Linked DNA regions of Macaca fascicularis. The protein of the gene in region 1 interacts with the protein of each later gene in a biochemical or structural test. Links are inferred from orthologs where the notes say so. Each region holds a gene or a part of one and is shown on either strand. Other genes may lie near its edges.

Evidence for each region.
Region 2: of the proteins of LIMK2 (region 1) and ROCK1, one has a biochemical effect on the other in vitro, tested with the Homo sapiens proteins (2 studies listed by BioGRID). The link is inferred for Macaca fascicularis from reciprocal best matches to the Homo sapiens genes LIMK2 and ROCK1.

What each region holds. Positions count from the first base shown.
Region 1 is NC_088384.1:20,381,090-20,389,093, reverse strand, and holds part of LIMK2 (LIM domain kinase 2), read left to right. Parts: intron 1-3,289; coding exon 3,290-3,425; intron 3,426-4,456; coding exon 4,457-4,566; intron 4,567-5,218; coding exon 5,219-5,407; intron 5,408-7,134; coding exon 7,135-7,240; intron 7,241-7,595; coding exon 7,596-7,792; intron 7,793-8,004. UniProt on the Homo sapiens protein: Serine/threonine-protein kinase that plays an essential role in the regulation of actin filament dynamics. Acts downstream of several Rho family GTPase signal transduction pathways.
Region 2 is NC_088392.1:68,801,385-68,809,388, reverse strand, and holds part of ROCK1 (rho-associated protein kinase 1), read right to left. Parts: intron 4,279-8,004; coding exon 4,200-4,278; intron 4,078-4,199; coding exon 3,816-4,077; intron 2,506-3,815; coding exon 2,298-2,505; intron 1-2,297. UniProt on the Homo sapiens protein: Protein kinase which is a key regulator of the actin cytoskeleton and cell polarity.

The DNA of each region.
Region 1 (8,004 bases):
CAAGAACAGTCTTCCCCTCTGCCTACATCCTCACTGCGCAGTTTTTAGACACTTCACAGCCATACTCTTCATGCCATACCCAGCCCTCTAGACCCTGAAGTTCCCCTTCCATAAGACAAGTAGGAAAAGCTATAGGGTAAAAATAGCCATCAGTGTTTGTTGAGCACCCAGGGGGGAATTGGCCACTCCAGAAAGATAAAGGAATTCTCAGGGACTTGCTTGTCTAGACTTCCTAGCTCAGCTGCTTCAACTCATTCCTGCCCCTCTTCTCTACCTCCTGCATTGCTCAGAAGTAGTAGAACTCATTGTGTCCTCTCACCTTGCATTGTTGAATTTTATTTAGACTTTCTCTTCCTCAGCTCTTCATAAGCTCACGAAAAGTGAAGTAGGGTGCCCTGTGTATTTATCTTTTATATCTGCAGTGCTTAGCAAGTTATAATAATGCACTTGCCTGGCAAAAGACTTTCTCTCATACATTAGCTTATTTCCTCTTCACATTGGCTCTTTGTAATAATGGGATGCTATTAGTTGTTTTCAATGAGAGAAAGCTACTAAGAGAAGTTGTCCAGCTAGTGACAGGAAGTGGCTGATAATGTGAACTGCCATTACATTGTCATTATCATGTTTAATAAAAGTTAACACATACTGAGTTTCTACTATATTTGGTCTTTTTTTTTTTTTTTTTTTTTTTTTTTTTTTTTTTGAGACGGAGTCTCGCTTTGTTGTCCAGGCTGGAGTGCAGTGGTGCAGTCTCGGATCACCACAACCTCTGCCTCCCAGGTTCAAGCAATTCTCCTGCCTCAGCCTTCTGAGTAGCTGGGACTACAAGCGCAAGCCACCATGACTGGCTAATTTTTGTATTTTCAGTAGAGATAGGATTTCACTATGTTGGCCAGGCTAGTCTCAAAACTCCTGACCTTGTGATCTGCCTGCCTCAGCCTCCCAAAGTGCTGGGATTACAGGTGTGAGCCACCATGCCCAGCCTATATTAGGTCTTTTATATAAGCTATCTCTGTCTATCCATAATTTTTTTTGAGACGGAGTCTGGCTCTGTCACCCAGGCTGGAGTGCAGTAGCATGATCTTGGCTCACTACAACCTCCACCTCCTGGGTTCCAGCGATTCTCCTGCCTCAGCCTCCCGAGAAGCTGGGATTACAGGTTCGTGCCACCACGCCCGGCTAATTTTTTGTATTTTTAGTAGAGACCGGGTTTCACCATATTGGCCAGGCTGGTCTCGAACTCCTGACTTCAAGTGATCCACCTGCCTCGGCCTCCCAAAGTGCTGGGATTACAAGCATGAGCCACTGTGCCCAGCTGCTCTCTATATTTTTAATACATATTATTTCCTTTAATTTTCACAGCAGTTCATTTTATAGATGAGGAAACTAGGCCAGAGAAGTAAGTAAAATATCTTGCCCAAGTTGACGTAACTAGTAAGTGGCAGGATCAAGATTCAACCCAAGCAATGTTGAAACCTCTTGGAAACAACGATATGGCCACTGTGGAAGGTGGAAGGCCTTGACAACGAGAATAGGGAAAAGAAGGAACTAGAAGGAAAGAAATGGCATGGGCTCAGCAGGCCAATGAGCTCTTAGCTGTGTGTGTTGGGAAGCTCAGAAGGAAGGAGGAGGTTGTGCAGGTAAGTCCTGACAACACACCTGACTTTTGAGAGGTGGGATTCATAGCCAGGTGATTAGGGGAGAAGGGAGCTATGGATTTTTTTTTTTTTTTTTTTTAAGAGACGGGGTCTTACTATGTTGCTCAGGCTGGTCTCGAACTCCTGGGCTCAAGTGATCCTCCCATCTTAGCTTCCCAAAGTGCTGGGATTACAGGCATCAGCCACCCCGCCCAGCAAGCTGTGGATCTAACATATACATCTTTTTTTTTTTTTTTTTTTTTTTTTTTTTTTTTTTTTTTTTTGAGACGGAGTCTCGCTCTGTCGCCCAGGCTGGAGTGCAGTGGCCGGATCTCAGCTCACTGCAAGCTCCGCCTCCCGGGTTCACGCCATTCTCCTGCCTCAGCCTCCCGAGTAGCTGGGACTACAGGCGCCGCCACCTCGCCCGGCTAGTTTTTTTTTTGTATTTTTTAGTAGAGATGGGGTTTCACCATGTTATCCAGGACGGTCTCGATCTCCTGACCTCGTGATCCGCCCGTCTCGGCCTCCCTAAGTGCTGGGATTACAGGCTTGAGCCACCGCGCCCGGCCAAACATATACATCTTACACGTTGCTAATAGAATGTTGGGTTTCTTCCCCAATATTTTATTTTGAAAAAAATTTCAAATATGTAAAAAAGTTGAAAATGTAGTTCAAATAACACCTACATACCTTTCACATAGATTCATCATTTGTTAATGTTATGCCACTTTGTGTCTCTCTCTCCCTCTGTCTATATACTTTCATTTATTTATTTTTGCTGAACTATTTCAGAGTAACTTAAATGCATCTTGACTTTTACCCTTAAATAGTTCAATATGTTTCTCCTAAGAATTCTCCTATATAAGTCAAATATCATCACATCTAAGAAAATTCACAGTAATTTTACAATATAATATTATAGTCCAAATCCAGATTTCCTCAGTTCCAAAAAATGTTCATGGCTGTTGCCTTTTTTAATCTAAATTTGAATCCAAGGTGTAGGCATCATATTTGGTTGCTGTGTCTCTAGGCTTTTTTAAATCTGTGCCTTTTCTTCTCCCCATGACTTTTTAGAAGAGTCAAGACCAGTTATCTTATAGAATAACCCACATTCTAGATTTGCCTGATTAGTTTTTTTATACTTAACATATTTTTGGCAAGAACATTACATTGGTAATGCTGTTGGTGATGGGTCAGTTTTGAAGAGTGGAGATGATCAAACTGCTTTTGTTCATTGAAATATCTGTCAAGACCAGAGGTCCTTAACTGGTGCCATAAATAGGTTTCAGAGAATCCTTTATATACACACACACACACCCACCTAAATTATATACACATCTTCCTTATATGTGCATTTTTCTAAGGGAGGCTTCTTGGCTTTTATCAAATTCTCAGAGGGCTCCAAGACCCAAAGAGGTTGTGAAACACTAGTCTGTCCACTGAGGCAGGCAACACAGAGCTGGTTTCTGGGGCCTTATTCACTCTGAACCAGCTTCCCTTGGGGAGATAGCACAAGGCTGTAGCTTTCCCCCATCTTGGCTTTGGATCAAAGAGGACTGTCTATTTTGTTGTCAGACCTAGGAGCCAGGGACAGCCTATGTGGCCCGGTTCCAGGGATCCAGGAGAATTTCAGTTCTTGTCTTGCCTTTCAGGTGTTCAGAATGCCAGGATTCCCTCACCAACTGGTACTACGAGAAAGATGGGAAGCTCTACTGCCCCAAGGACTACTGGGGGAAGTTTGGGGAGTTCTGTCATGGGTGCTCCCTGCTGATGACAGGGCCTTTTATGGTGAGTGAGTCCCTTCATATCTGCCCCTCTTGGTCTTCAGAGTCCATTGACAGTGCTTCCAGTTCAGTCCATTGACAGTGCTTCCAGTTCCCCGTGGCTGTTCATCTTTTGGTCTTTCCATCAGCCAGGGCATCTCCCTTTATTCATTCATTCATTCAACCAGCAGGTATCAGCTGAGCACCTATTAAGTGAAAGGTAAGATCCTTCCCTCAAAGACTTAATAGTTTAGGCCGGGCGCGGTGGCTCACGCCTGTAATCCCAGCACTTTGGGAGGCCGAGACGGGCGGATCACGAGGTCAGGAGATCGAGACCATCCTGGCTAGCACGGTGAAACCCCATCTCTACTAAAAAATACAAAAAAAAAACTAGCCGGGCGAGGTGGCGGCGCCTGTAGTCCCAGCTACTCGGGAGGCTGAGGCAGGAGAATGGCATAAACCTGGGAGGCGGAGCTTGCAGTGAGCTGAGATCCGGCCACTGCACTCCAGCCTGGGCGACAGAGCGAGACTCCGTCTCAAAAAAAAAAAAAAAAAAAAAGTTTAATGTTGGGAGTGGGAGGAGAGGCAGGCAGAGAGGAGACACAGTATAGTTGGATAAGGACCTCAAAGGAGACTGTTATAGGCTGAAAGGAGGATATACCTAGGTTGTGTTCAGGGAATAAGAAAAGGAGACTCTGGAATGGGCTGGCAGAGAGAGGTGCTACCTCTTATACCCACTCTGGACACAGGACTTTAAGCATAGTCACAGACTTGCTAACCCTGTATTGGAGGAACTGTGATCTTTTTTAGTGGGGATGATTACTTCTGGGGACTTGTTCTCATAACTGAAACGAAAACAGTTTTGTGCAGTCTCAGAAATGACAGGAGGTACCAATCTGACACTTTCTTTGGAAGCTCTAGGGCAGAGAGTGAAAGAGTGGATTTTGACTGGGGCCTTGATTGGAGGTCATTCACCTACCCCTGTCCTCACTCCAGCAACAGTGATAACTCACTTCCTTCCTCCCTTTGTGCACCCTTCTCCCCACCTGCTCACAGGTGGCTGGGGAGTTCAAGTACCACCCAGAGTGCTTTGCCTGTATGAGCTGCAAGGTGATCATCGAGGATGGGGATGCATATGCACTGGTGCAGCACGCCACCCTCTACTGGTAAGATGGTAGTCCTTTGTCTATCCTCTCCCATATAAGAGTGGCCTGGGGGAGGGACGGTGGCAGGGTGAGTTGGGCAGAGTGTTAGTGTAGTCAGAGCATTGGATTCCTATCACAGCAGTGCTCTTAACCAGCTCTTTAACTTGTAAGCAGAATGATTTACACATGTCTCTACCCTTTTTTCTTACCTACCTTGAAAATGTCTTCACTCTGCCCTGCAGTCCTCCCAGTGGGAGGCACCTTCAAGGAGGATCCCAGAACATTAAAGTCAAAGACCCCTTAGAGCTCACCCTGTCCAACCACCTTGGTTGATGAAAGAAGTCAGCCTGGAGCTCATGGAATAGAATAGTACAAGGGCAAGGTTCTCATTGTGAGTCAAAGGCAGAGTGAAGAGAACCCAGGCCATCTCACCCCAACCCAGGCCAATGTTCTTCCAAATATACCACTTGCTGCAGATCCAGCTCAGCACCCCCAGTCCCAGCCCACCCTGAGAACCCAGGCTCCTCATTCTGAGCAGCCAGCTAGAATCATGACAAAGAGGGTGGTAGTGAGACTATAGGTACTGTTGCTTAAAGCCACATGGTGCAGTGGTTGCTGGGGGGCTTCTGCATGGGACTCTAGCATCATACTCCCCCCTGTGCCCTCTCCCCAGTGGGAAGTGCCACAATGAGGTGGTGCTGGCACCTATGTTTGAGAGACTCTCCACAGAGTCTGTTCAGGACCAGCTGCCCTACTCTGTCACGCTCATCTCCATGCCAGCGACCACTGAAGGCAGGCGGGGCTTCTCTGTGTCCGTGGAGAGTGCCTGCTCCAACTACGCCACCACTGTGCAAGTGAAAGAGTAAGTATTTTGAGAACCCTTCAGCAGGGGTTCTTGAGCAGAGTCTGTAAATGGGCCTCAGAGGGCTTAGATCTCCAAAGTCTCATGCAGAACTCCCTTTATTCTCATCTCATATCTTTCTCCTGGACCCCACTATGCTGTAACCACACCTGGGCCTTGGCACTTATTGTTCTCTCTGTCCAGGCTACTTCCTACCAGATACTTAAGGCCAGAATCACTCATCTTTCAGGTGTCAGGTTTCAGATCATGTTTGCTCTTTGAAATTATCTGGCTTGATTATGTGTATTAGTTGTTTATCTTCTTTCCCCTCCACTAGAATGTAAATTCCAGAAGGAACTTGCTGTCTTGTTCAGTGCTGCATGCCCAGGGCTTGGAACAGTACCTGGCATATAGTAGGAGTTGGTTGATTATTATTTTGTCAGTTGAGAGAGTGAACGGAGAAAATGTGGTCTATGGCCCAAAAGAAGTTAAGACCCTATCCTAGATTGAGGCCAGAGACCAGATGGAGAAAGAGTCTGTGTCTATCTCATACCAGTAATGTCGTACCTCTGGCTGCTTACCATGTAAATGTTGATTTTGCATCTACCATGTGTTGGACACTAGGCTAGTGCTTGCACAGTAGGTGAAAGATACTAGAGTTTGGGAAGGCAGGAGCAGCTAAAGTCTGTTCTACCACCTCATTAGATGAAGAGGAGAGGGAATTGTGTTCAGGGCAGAGGGAGAAACATTCTCCAAAAGTGGGAGTCTTAATCATGTCTGATGTAGGTTGGGTGTGGCCAAAAAAGGGGCTGTTAAGCATACAGAGGGCCTGGATTATGAAGATCCAGCAGATCCATTGAGAGTTTAAGCAGCAAGCTGTTGTGACCAAGTTAACATTTTAGAAGGATCACTGGTACGGAGGTTGGATTGGAGAGGGGAAAGCCTAGAGGTATACAGACCAGTTAGGAAGCTGTTGTAGGCTGGGCATGGTGGCTCATGCCTGTAATCTCAGGACTTTGGGAGGCTGAGGTGGGAGGATTGCTTGAGGCCAGGAGTTCAAGACCAACCTGGCCAATATAGCAAGACCCCATCTCTATTTTTTAAAATTAAAAGTCCAGATATAAGGCCGGGTGCGGTGGCTCACGCCTGTAATCCCAGCACTTTGGGAGGCTAAGGCGGGCGGATCACAAGGTCAGGAGATCGAGACCACGGTGAAACCCCATCTCTACTAAAAGTACAAAAAAAATTAGCCGGGCGCGGTGGCGGGCGCCTGTAGTCCCAGCTACTCAAGAGGCTGAGGCATGAGAATTGCCTGAGCCTGGGAGGCGGAGGTTGCAGTGAGCCCAGATCATGCCATTGCACTCCAGCCTGGATGACAGAGTAAGACACCATCTCAAAAAAAAATTAAAGTTAAAAAAAAAAAAAGAAGCTATTACAGTGATCCAGGTAAGAGATGTGAATAACTACAATGATGGAAAGAAGGCAGAGTTCTTAGAGATGGGAGTAGGAGAGGGATGAGGGAACTCCAAATGGGGAAGATGATGTCCAAGTTTCTGGCTTAGGCCACAGGGTGGGTGGCAATTCCCTTCACTGAGATGGGGCATCCTAGAAAAGGTGTTGCCTTTCCATGTGGATATCCTGGGCCCTTTAGGGGCAACTGGTGGCCTGGGACCTTCCCTGCACAAGCAGAATTGGTCAAGCAGGTTTTTAGGACATCTTTACCCTGCCTTAACTTTTGTCTGGCCCAGGGTCAACCGGATGCACATCAGTCCCAACAATCGCAATGCCATCCACCCTGGGGACCGCATCCTGGAGATCAATGGGACCCCGGTCCGCACACTTCGAGTGGAGGAGGTAGAGTGTGTGTCTAATCTGTCTTGTGAGGGTGGGACATGGAATAGATCCTCTGGGAAATCAGGCTATAGCCTTTACCTTTTCCTACCGCCAGCCCATCTCTTTGTCTTAGCATTGAGCCTGTGACCACTGATGACCTATTACAGCTTAACAGGTTGCCAGGGTAGCAGGGATGGTTGACGGATGGGAGAGCTGACAGGATGCCAGGCAGAGGGCACTGTGAGGCCACTGACAGCTAGAGGCCACCATTAGCCAAGTTGAGCACTGGCCACACTGTGCCTGAGTCATCTGGGTTGGCCATGGGTGGCCTGGGATGGGGCAGCCTGTGGGAGCTTTATACTGCTCTTGGCCGCAGGTGGAGGATGCAATTAGCCAGACGAGCCAGACACTTCAGCTGTTGATTGAACATGACCCCGTCTCCCAACGCCTGGACCAGCTGCGGCTGGAGGCCCAGCTCGCTCCTCACATGCAGAATGCCGGACACCCCCACACCCTCAGCACCCTGGACACCAAGGAGAATCTGGAGGGGACACTGAGGAGACGTTCCCTGAGGTGCCACCTCCCACCCTGGCTCTGTCCTGTCCCATGTCTGTCTCTCAGATGAAGCTGAGCTGGCTTTCAGAAGCCTGCAGAGTTAGGAGAGGAACCAGCTGGCCAGGGACAAACTATGAGGATTGTGCTGACCCAGCTGCCCCTGTGGGGATCACAGTTTATAGCCAGAGCCTTTGTGGACCAGCTGTCTGCCAGGTTTCCTTAGAAACCGG
Region 2 (8,004 bases), on another chromosome or scaffold:
AGCATTCTACAGAATTAAGTTAGCAGTGATGTGGTAATACCTGGCATAGTGTGGTGGCTGAGAAGGAAAGGATATAAGTCATTTCAAAGAATTAGGCCTGGTTACTGACAACAGGGAATGAACAAAAGAGATGAATTCAAGATGGCTTTAAGCCTGCTTGGAAGATGTGGGTGACACTGGCAGCGAGGCCAATCAGTGTTAGGTCTCAGCTTCTAGATTCAAATGGCCCTATTAATCTAGGGAGTACACTCTAGGGAAGCTGGTATGTGGTAGAATAGAGGCTTTGGAATTGGACAACATAGGCTTTAGAATTGGACAGAAATGGCCTCCAATCCATTGGCTCTGTGATTGAGCAAACTGCTTAATTTCTCTGAGCCTTATTTACTAATGAGTAAAATGAGAACTTAATGAGATGAGATTTCATAATTTCTCTCCAAGAAAGAGTTAATTGCCGGGTGTGGTGGCTCATGCCTGTAATCCCAGCACTTTGGGAGGCCCAGGAGGGTGCATCACCTGAGGTCATGAGTTCAAGACCAGCCTGGCCAACATGGTGAAACCCCATCTCTACTGAAAATACAAAAATTAGCAGGGTGTGGTGGTGTGTACCTGTAATCCCAGCTACTCAAGAGGCTGAGGTGGGAGAACAGCTTGAACCCAGGAGGCAGAGGTTACAGTGAGCTGAGATTGTGCCACTGCACTCTGGCCTGGGCAACAGAGCGAGACTCTGTCTCAAAATGAATGAATGAATGAATGAATGAATGAATGAATGAATGAATGGTTATGCCTTATAATTGTTTATCATGGCATAAAAGATATTTTTGGAAAAAAGTCCATCAAAAATATTTAAACAGCCAGGCGTGATGGCTCATGCCTGTAATCCCAGCACTTTGGAAGGCTGGGGCAGGCAGATCACTTGAGGTCAGGAGTTTGAGACCAGCCTGGCCAACATGATGAAACCCTCTCTCTACTAAAATGACAAAAATTAGCCAGGCATGGTGGCATCCATCTGTAATCCCCGCTACTTGGGAGGCTGAGGTCGGAGAATTGCTTGAACCTGGGAGGTGGAGGTTGCAGTGAGCTGAGACAGTGCCGCCACTGCACTCCAGCCTGGGTGACAGAGTGAGACTCTGTCTTAAAAAACAAAAAAAAGTTAAACAACAAAAGAAGTAGGACTTAACTGGGAAGTTTGTTTGTAATAACATAGTTACTGATATGCAGCCATAAAAAAGGATAAGTTCGGCTGGGCATGGTGGCTCACACCTATAATCCCAGCACATTGGGAGGCAGAGGCAGGTGGATCATGAGATCAGGAGTTCGAGACAAGCCTGGCCAACATAATGAAACCCCATCTCTACTAAAAATACAAAAATTAGCCAGTCATGGTGGCATGCACCTGTAGTCCCAGCTACTCAGGAGGCTGAGGTTGTGGTAAGCCGAGATCACGCCACTGCACTCCAGCCTGGGCAACAAAGCAAGACTCTGCCTCAAAAAAAAAAAAAAAGGGGGCGGGGGTGGCGAGGGGATAGGTTCATGTCCTTTGCAGGAACATGGATGAAGCTGGAAACCATCATTCTCAGCAAACTAACACAGGAACAGAAAACCAAACACCACAGGTTCTCACTCATAAGTGGGAGTTGAACAATGAGAAAACATGGAGACAGGGAGGGGAACATCACACACCAGGGCCTGTCGGGGGGTCGGGGGACTAGGGGAGGGATAGCATTAGGAGAAATACCTAATGTAGATGATGGGTTGATGGGTGCAACAAACCACCATGGCACATGTATACCTATGTAACAAACCTGCAGGTTCTGCACATATATCCCAGAACTTAAAGTACAATAATTAAAAAAAATAGTCACTGATAATACCAAATAATTTTGTATGTTGCGATAGTATGGGAAGTTAACAAAGAAGGGAAAAACAATCTTGGTTTTTGTAGAAAAACTATGCCAACACAGTTAAAAAACAGAAAAGATGATTAAAAGTTTTATATGAATTTCTGCATTAAAAAAATTCACAAGTTGGTTAAAGCATTAAGGGCTAAAACTATGCCATGTACAGCAACTTATGACAATAAAATTAGACACAGAACTAAATAAATATAATATTGCATGTATTATTATTTTTAAATTCTAACAAGAATAAGTCAAACTAATTTATAAAGTCACTGCAAGTCATATACAAAGACCTAAAAATGATGCCCTCTGTGGTGAAAAGAATTAGATTTCTGATTTTAATAGATGTTAGCCAATCATTTTCACATTGTTAAAAAGGTTAGCATTTCAAATCCTTACCTAGTTTTTCCAGATGTATTTTTGACCACTTTCCGGAAAGACTGATTTGCAGTGGATCTTGTAGAAAGTGTTCGAGGGGAGGCACGAACAAAACCAGATGGTGGATTCTTAGGGATTTTCTTTACTAAATGAGTTACCCATTTTTTTTGTTCATCCTGAGAACATGCTAACAGCAGCATATCTCTTGCTGATGTTACGTCATAACTTACTATGTTAAGGAGGAAAAAAAAGCATAATTAAAGTCATATCTTTTTTTAAATCCAACCTATCAAATGCATAGTTTTTCAAGTTCTTAAGATTTTAAAAGTTTTAATATACTTAATTAAGCATGAACAATATCTCATTCTCCTTAAGTTAAATAAGGATAAAATTTAAAAATAAATTAGTCAAACTAATAAAGTAAAATCAGAAACATAAAAAAAAAGTAAAACAAATAAATGTTTAAAGAACATACGTTTCTTATCTGAAAATAGCTATGGTCTGTATTCTTTCCCTCAAGCTACCTCTGCTAAACTAGAAAATATTCTGTCTATGATACAGCATGCATGCTGATCCAGGCAGTGAATGCCAGACAAAAAGAAGAGGAAAAACTAAAGGGCGGAATAGAGTAGAACTCACCTGTTGCTCTCCTCTCCAACTTGGAGTAATTTCTTAGTGGCATGTTTGGTTTTTTTGTTTGTTTACAAGGGGGTGATTCTCTTTAAAAACACTGTTGGCCGGGTGTGCAATGGCTCACACCTGTCATCCCAGCACTTTGGGGAGGCCAAAGCAGGTGGATCACCTGAGGTCAGGAGTTCGAGACCAGCTTGGGCAAAATGGTGAAACTCCATCGCTACTAAAAATGCAAAATTAGCTAGGTGTGGTGGCACATGCCTATAGTCCCAGCTACTCAGGAGGCTGAGATAGGAGAATCCCTTGAACCTGGGAGGCAGAGGCTGCAGTGAGCTAAGATCACGCCATTGCACTCCAGCCTGGGCGAGACAGAGTGAGACTCTATCTCAATCAATCAACAAAAATAAATAAAAACATTCTTTTTTTTTTTTTTTTTTTTTTTTTGAGACAGAGTCTCCCTCTGCCGCCCAGGCTGGAGTGCAGTGGCGTGATCTTGGCTCACTGCAAGCTCCGCCTCCCGGGTTCACGCCATTCTCCTGCCTCAGCCTCCCGAGTAGCTGGGACTACAGGCGCCCGCCACCTCGCCCGGCTAGTTTTTTTGTATTTTTTAGTAGAGACGGGGTTTCACTGTGTCAGCCAGGATGGTCTCGATCTCCTGACCTCGTGATCCACCCGTCTCGGCCTCCCAAAGTGCTGGGATTACAGGCTTGAGCCACCGCGCCCAGCCAATAAAAACATTCTTAAAAGCTAAATCTGTAAGTAGCTGCACATTGCTCCACCAGTGTCAAAATATTACTTTTTATAATCTCTTTTCAACTTGGTATAGAAATTAATACACATAAGTTATTTCATTGAGACTGAAAACTAAATTTATTATAAGTTGTAACAATAATTGCCATACCTTACCTTTACATGGGCAAATTAAGTCCTCTTTCTTATCTAAGTGATCTCTGTGGCACTTAACATGGCATCTTCGACACTCTAGGGCAGGGGGTGGCTTAAAAACATGCCAGAGAGGTTTGGCACAGGCATCACAATTGGCAGGAAAGTGGTAGAGTGTAGGAATAAACTCATGGCCTTTGTGATTTTGGAAATTAGTTTTTTCAGCTTGTTGTACTGGTTCCATCTCTACATCTTTTCTACATTCACCTTCATTTGCATATAGTATCTACATTCAGGAATGGTGAAAGGAAAAGATTTTTAAAATCTTAAGCATTGGTAAATTTTACATTTACTTCACAAAAACACTTAGGACTTAGATTCTTTAAAATTATAACTTCAGATTTTTACCTGGAATATTTTAGGAATTTCTTCAGTTTCAGCTCTATACACATCTCCTTGGGTTACAGGTCTAACGTGAAACAGTTTACTAAAATGAAAATAAATATAGGCCATTTACAAAAACTCATTTATTGTAAAAGACATTTCATTAAAGAGGACATACAGGTGGTAAATAAGCACATAAAAAGATATTCAACATCATCAGTTATTAGACAAATGCAAACTAAAACCACAATTAGTGTCACTACACATCTATCAGAGTTAAAAAAATATAAAAATAGTAATAACACCAAATGCTGGTGAGAATGCGGAGAAAGTAAATCACTCATATACTGCTGATGGAACGTAAAATTACAGAGCCACTCTGGAAAAGAATATGGCGATTTCTTAGAAAACTAAACATATGCTTACCATATAACCCAGCAAATTGCACTGTTAGGCCTTTAATTCCAAGAAACAAAAATTTATTAAAAATTTTATATCTATTTAAAAAAACCTCCACATAGATGTTCACAGGAGCTTTATTCATAATAACCAAAACCTAGAAACAACCCAAATAAATGGGTACGCAAACTGAGATACATCTACACTATGGAATACTACTCTGTAAGAAAAAAACAAATCATACGTGGATTGATCTTAAGGGAATTATACTGAATGGGAAAAAAGCTGATCATAAAAGATTACACATTATTTGATTCCATTCATATAACACCCTTGAAGAGACAAAATTATGGAGATGGAGAATAGATTAGTGTTGCTATGGATTAGGGAGAGGTGGAGGAAGGAAGCTGCCTTTTGGCTACAAAAGGAGTAGCACAGGGATGCTTGTGATGGAATTGTTCTGTATTTTGAGTGTGGTGGTGGCCATATGAATCTATACATGTGAGAAAGGCATACAGATTGGAAAGAAAGAAGTGAAACTCATTATTTGGTGATGACATGATTGTATGCAGTTGTCTCGTGGTATCCGTGGCAGATTGGTCCCAGGACCCTGGAGGATACCAAAATCCTCTGGGGATTTTGAAGAGAGAAAGAGAAAGACAGAGAAGGTGAGGGAAGGAGGGAGGGACGAGACAGGAAAAGAAAGAAAAGATAAAAAAATGGTGTAGTATTTGTATATAACCTAAGTACACCCTCCTGTATATTTAAACTTGTCTCTAGATATAATACCTAATACGATGTAAGTGCTATGGAAATTGTTACACTATATTGTTTAGAGAATAATGACAAGAAAACAAATCTGTACATATTAAGTACAGACACAACCATAGTAGGCCTAACTACATTTTTAATCCATAGTTGGATGAATATACAGATGCAGAACCCACAGATACAGAGGAATGACTATGTGTAGAAAAGCCCTGTGGAATTGACCCCAAAACCCCACAACCCTATAAAACTGTTAAGTGCAAAGCAAGATTAAATGATTCAAGGTCAATATATAAAAACAAATACTGTTGGAACAACCAGATACCTATGTGGGGGAAAAAAAGCCAACCTGACCTAAACAACTACCTCTTACCAAACACGGACCACAAGAGGCAGAAAACATTTTAAAAATTGGTACACTGATCCTCATTAAAAGACACCATTAAGAAAATCAACAGGCAAGCAACAGATTGGGAAATATTTGCATTACATATTTCTAACATAGGATTTTTATTCAGAATACATATAGAACTCTTAAAAACCAATCTTGCCGGGCGCGGTGGCTCAAGCCTGTAATCCCAGCACTTTGGGAGGCCGAGGCGGGCGGATCACAAGGTCAGGAGATCGAGACCACAGTGAAACCCCGTCTCTACTAAAAATACAAAAAAAATTAGCCGGGCGCGGTGGCGGGCGCCTGTAGTCCCAGCTACTCAGGAGGCTGAGGCAGGAGAATGGCGGGAACCCGGGAGGTGGAGCTTGCAGTGAGCCGAGATCGCGCCACTGCACTCCAGCCTGGGCAACAGCGTGAGACTCCGTCTCAAAAAAAAAAAAAAAAAAACCAATCTTAAAAACATAAGCAACCGAATTTAAAAATGGGCAAAAGACTTGAAAAAACTTAAGAAAAGATACACAATGGCTAACAATGACATGAAAGATTCTTGCTATTATTAGTTATGAGGAGAATGCAAATTAAAATAACAATGAGATAGCATTTAGCATCCACTAGAAAAGCTAACACAGATCTATTTTATAATCCAGGATTCCACTCCTAGGTATTTACCCATGAGAAATGAAAACATAAGTTTAAAAAAAGGAATGCTCCTAAGTCTTACTCACGATAGCCCCAAATTGGAAGCAACCCAAATGTCAATCAACACAAAAATGGATAAACAAATTCATACAATGCTATACTATTCAGCAATACAAAGAACAATCAATACATACAACACCACAGGTGCAGGATGAGTGAAAGATGCTAGGCACAAAAGTGTACTGTTTAATTCCATTTATATGAAGTCCTAGAACAGGCAAAACTAATCTTGGCAATAGAAATCAGATCATGGGAAGAGGCACAAGTGAGCTTTCTTCTTTTTTCTTTTTTTTTTTTTTTGTGAGATGGAGTCTCGCTCTGTCACCCGGGCTGGAGTGCAGTGGCACAATCTTGGCTCACCGCAACCTCTGCCTCCTGGGTTCAAGCGATTCTCCTGCCTCAGCCTCCCAAGTAGCTGGGATTACAGGCATCTGCCACCATGCCCAGCTAATCTTTTGTATTTTTAGTAGAGACAGGGTTTCACCATGTTGGCCAGACTGGTCTCGAATCAACTCCTGACCTCGTGATCCTCCCATCTCGGCCTCCCAAAGTACTGGGATTATAGGCATGAGCCACTGCACCCGGCCCAAGTGAGCTTTCTTTATAAATTAAAAAATATATATCTATATTCTTTTTTCAGAGACAGGGTCTTGCTATGTCGCCCAGGCTGGTCTCGAATTGAACTCAGGGCAACCGCCCAGCTCGGTCTCCCAAAGTGCTGGGGTTAGAGGCATAAGCCACTGTGCCCAGCCACAAGTGAGTTTTCTAAAGAAATACAAATTTTTTTTGTCTTGTATTGAGTGGTGATTGCATGAGTGTTTACAACTGTAGAAAGTTACTGAACAGAACACTTAAGATCTATGAACTTTATTGTGGGAAATTATACCTTAATAAAGAGAGGAAAGAAATCTCTCATCAATCTAAAAAGTATTTAACTTAGTTGAAAGATAATATCTTTCATATAAGTGTTTATTATTTCACTTAAGCTGATAATTTAAATTTTGACAACTAAAGCTTTTTTTAAAAAAAAAAAAGAAAAGAAAATATGAGTATTCTCTAGTACTTGCTTAATTCTTTTTACATTCTAACTATAACCAGCTCCACAAATACTTAATTCCAAAGGGATGGCAAAACTTTATTTTATATATATATTTCTTTTTTTATTTTTTTGAGACGGAGTCTCGCTCTGTCGCTCAGGCTGAAGTGCAGTGGCGCGATCTCAGCTCACTGCAAGCTCCGCCTCCCGGGTTCACGCCATTCTCCTGCCTCAGCCTCCTGAGTAGCTGGGACTACAGGCGCCCACCACCGCGCCTGGCTAATGTTTTGTATTTTTAGTAGAGACGGGGTTTCACCGTGGTCTCGATCTCCTGACCTTGTGATCCGCCTGCCTCAGCCTCCCAAAGTGCTGGGATTACAGGCGTGAGCCACCGCGCCCGGCATATGTATTTCTTTTAAAAAGCAGTTACCATACTTGACTTTGAATTTATATTTTGTTGCATGTTTTGCCTTTTCTCTTACTAGTCGGTAAGCTCCTTAATTATGGAATTTACTCATCTTTATACATACTGCATA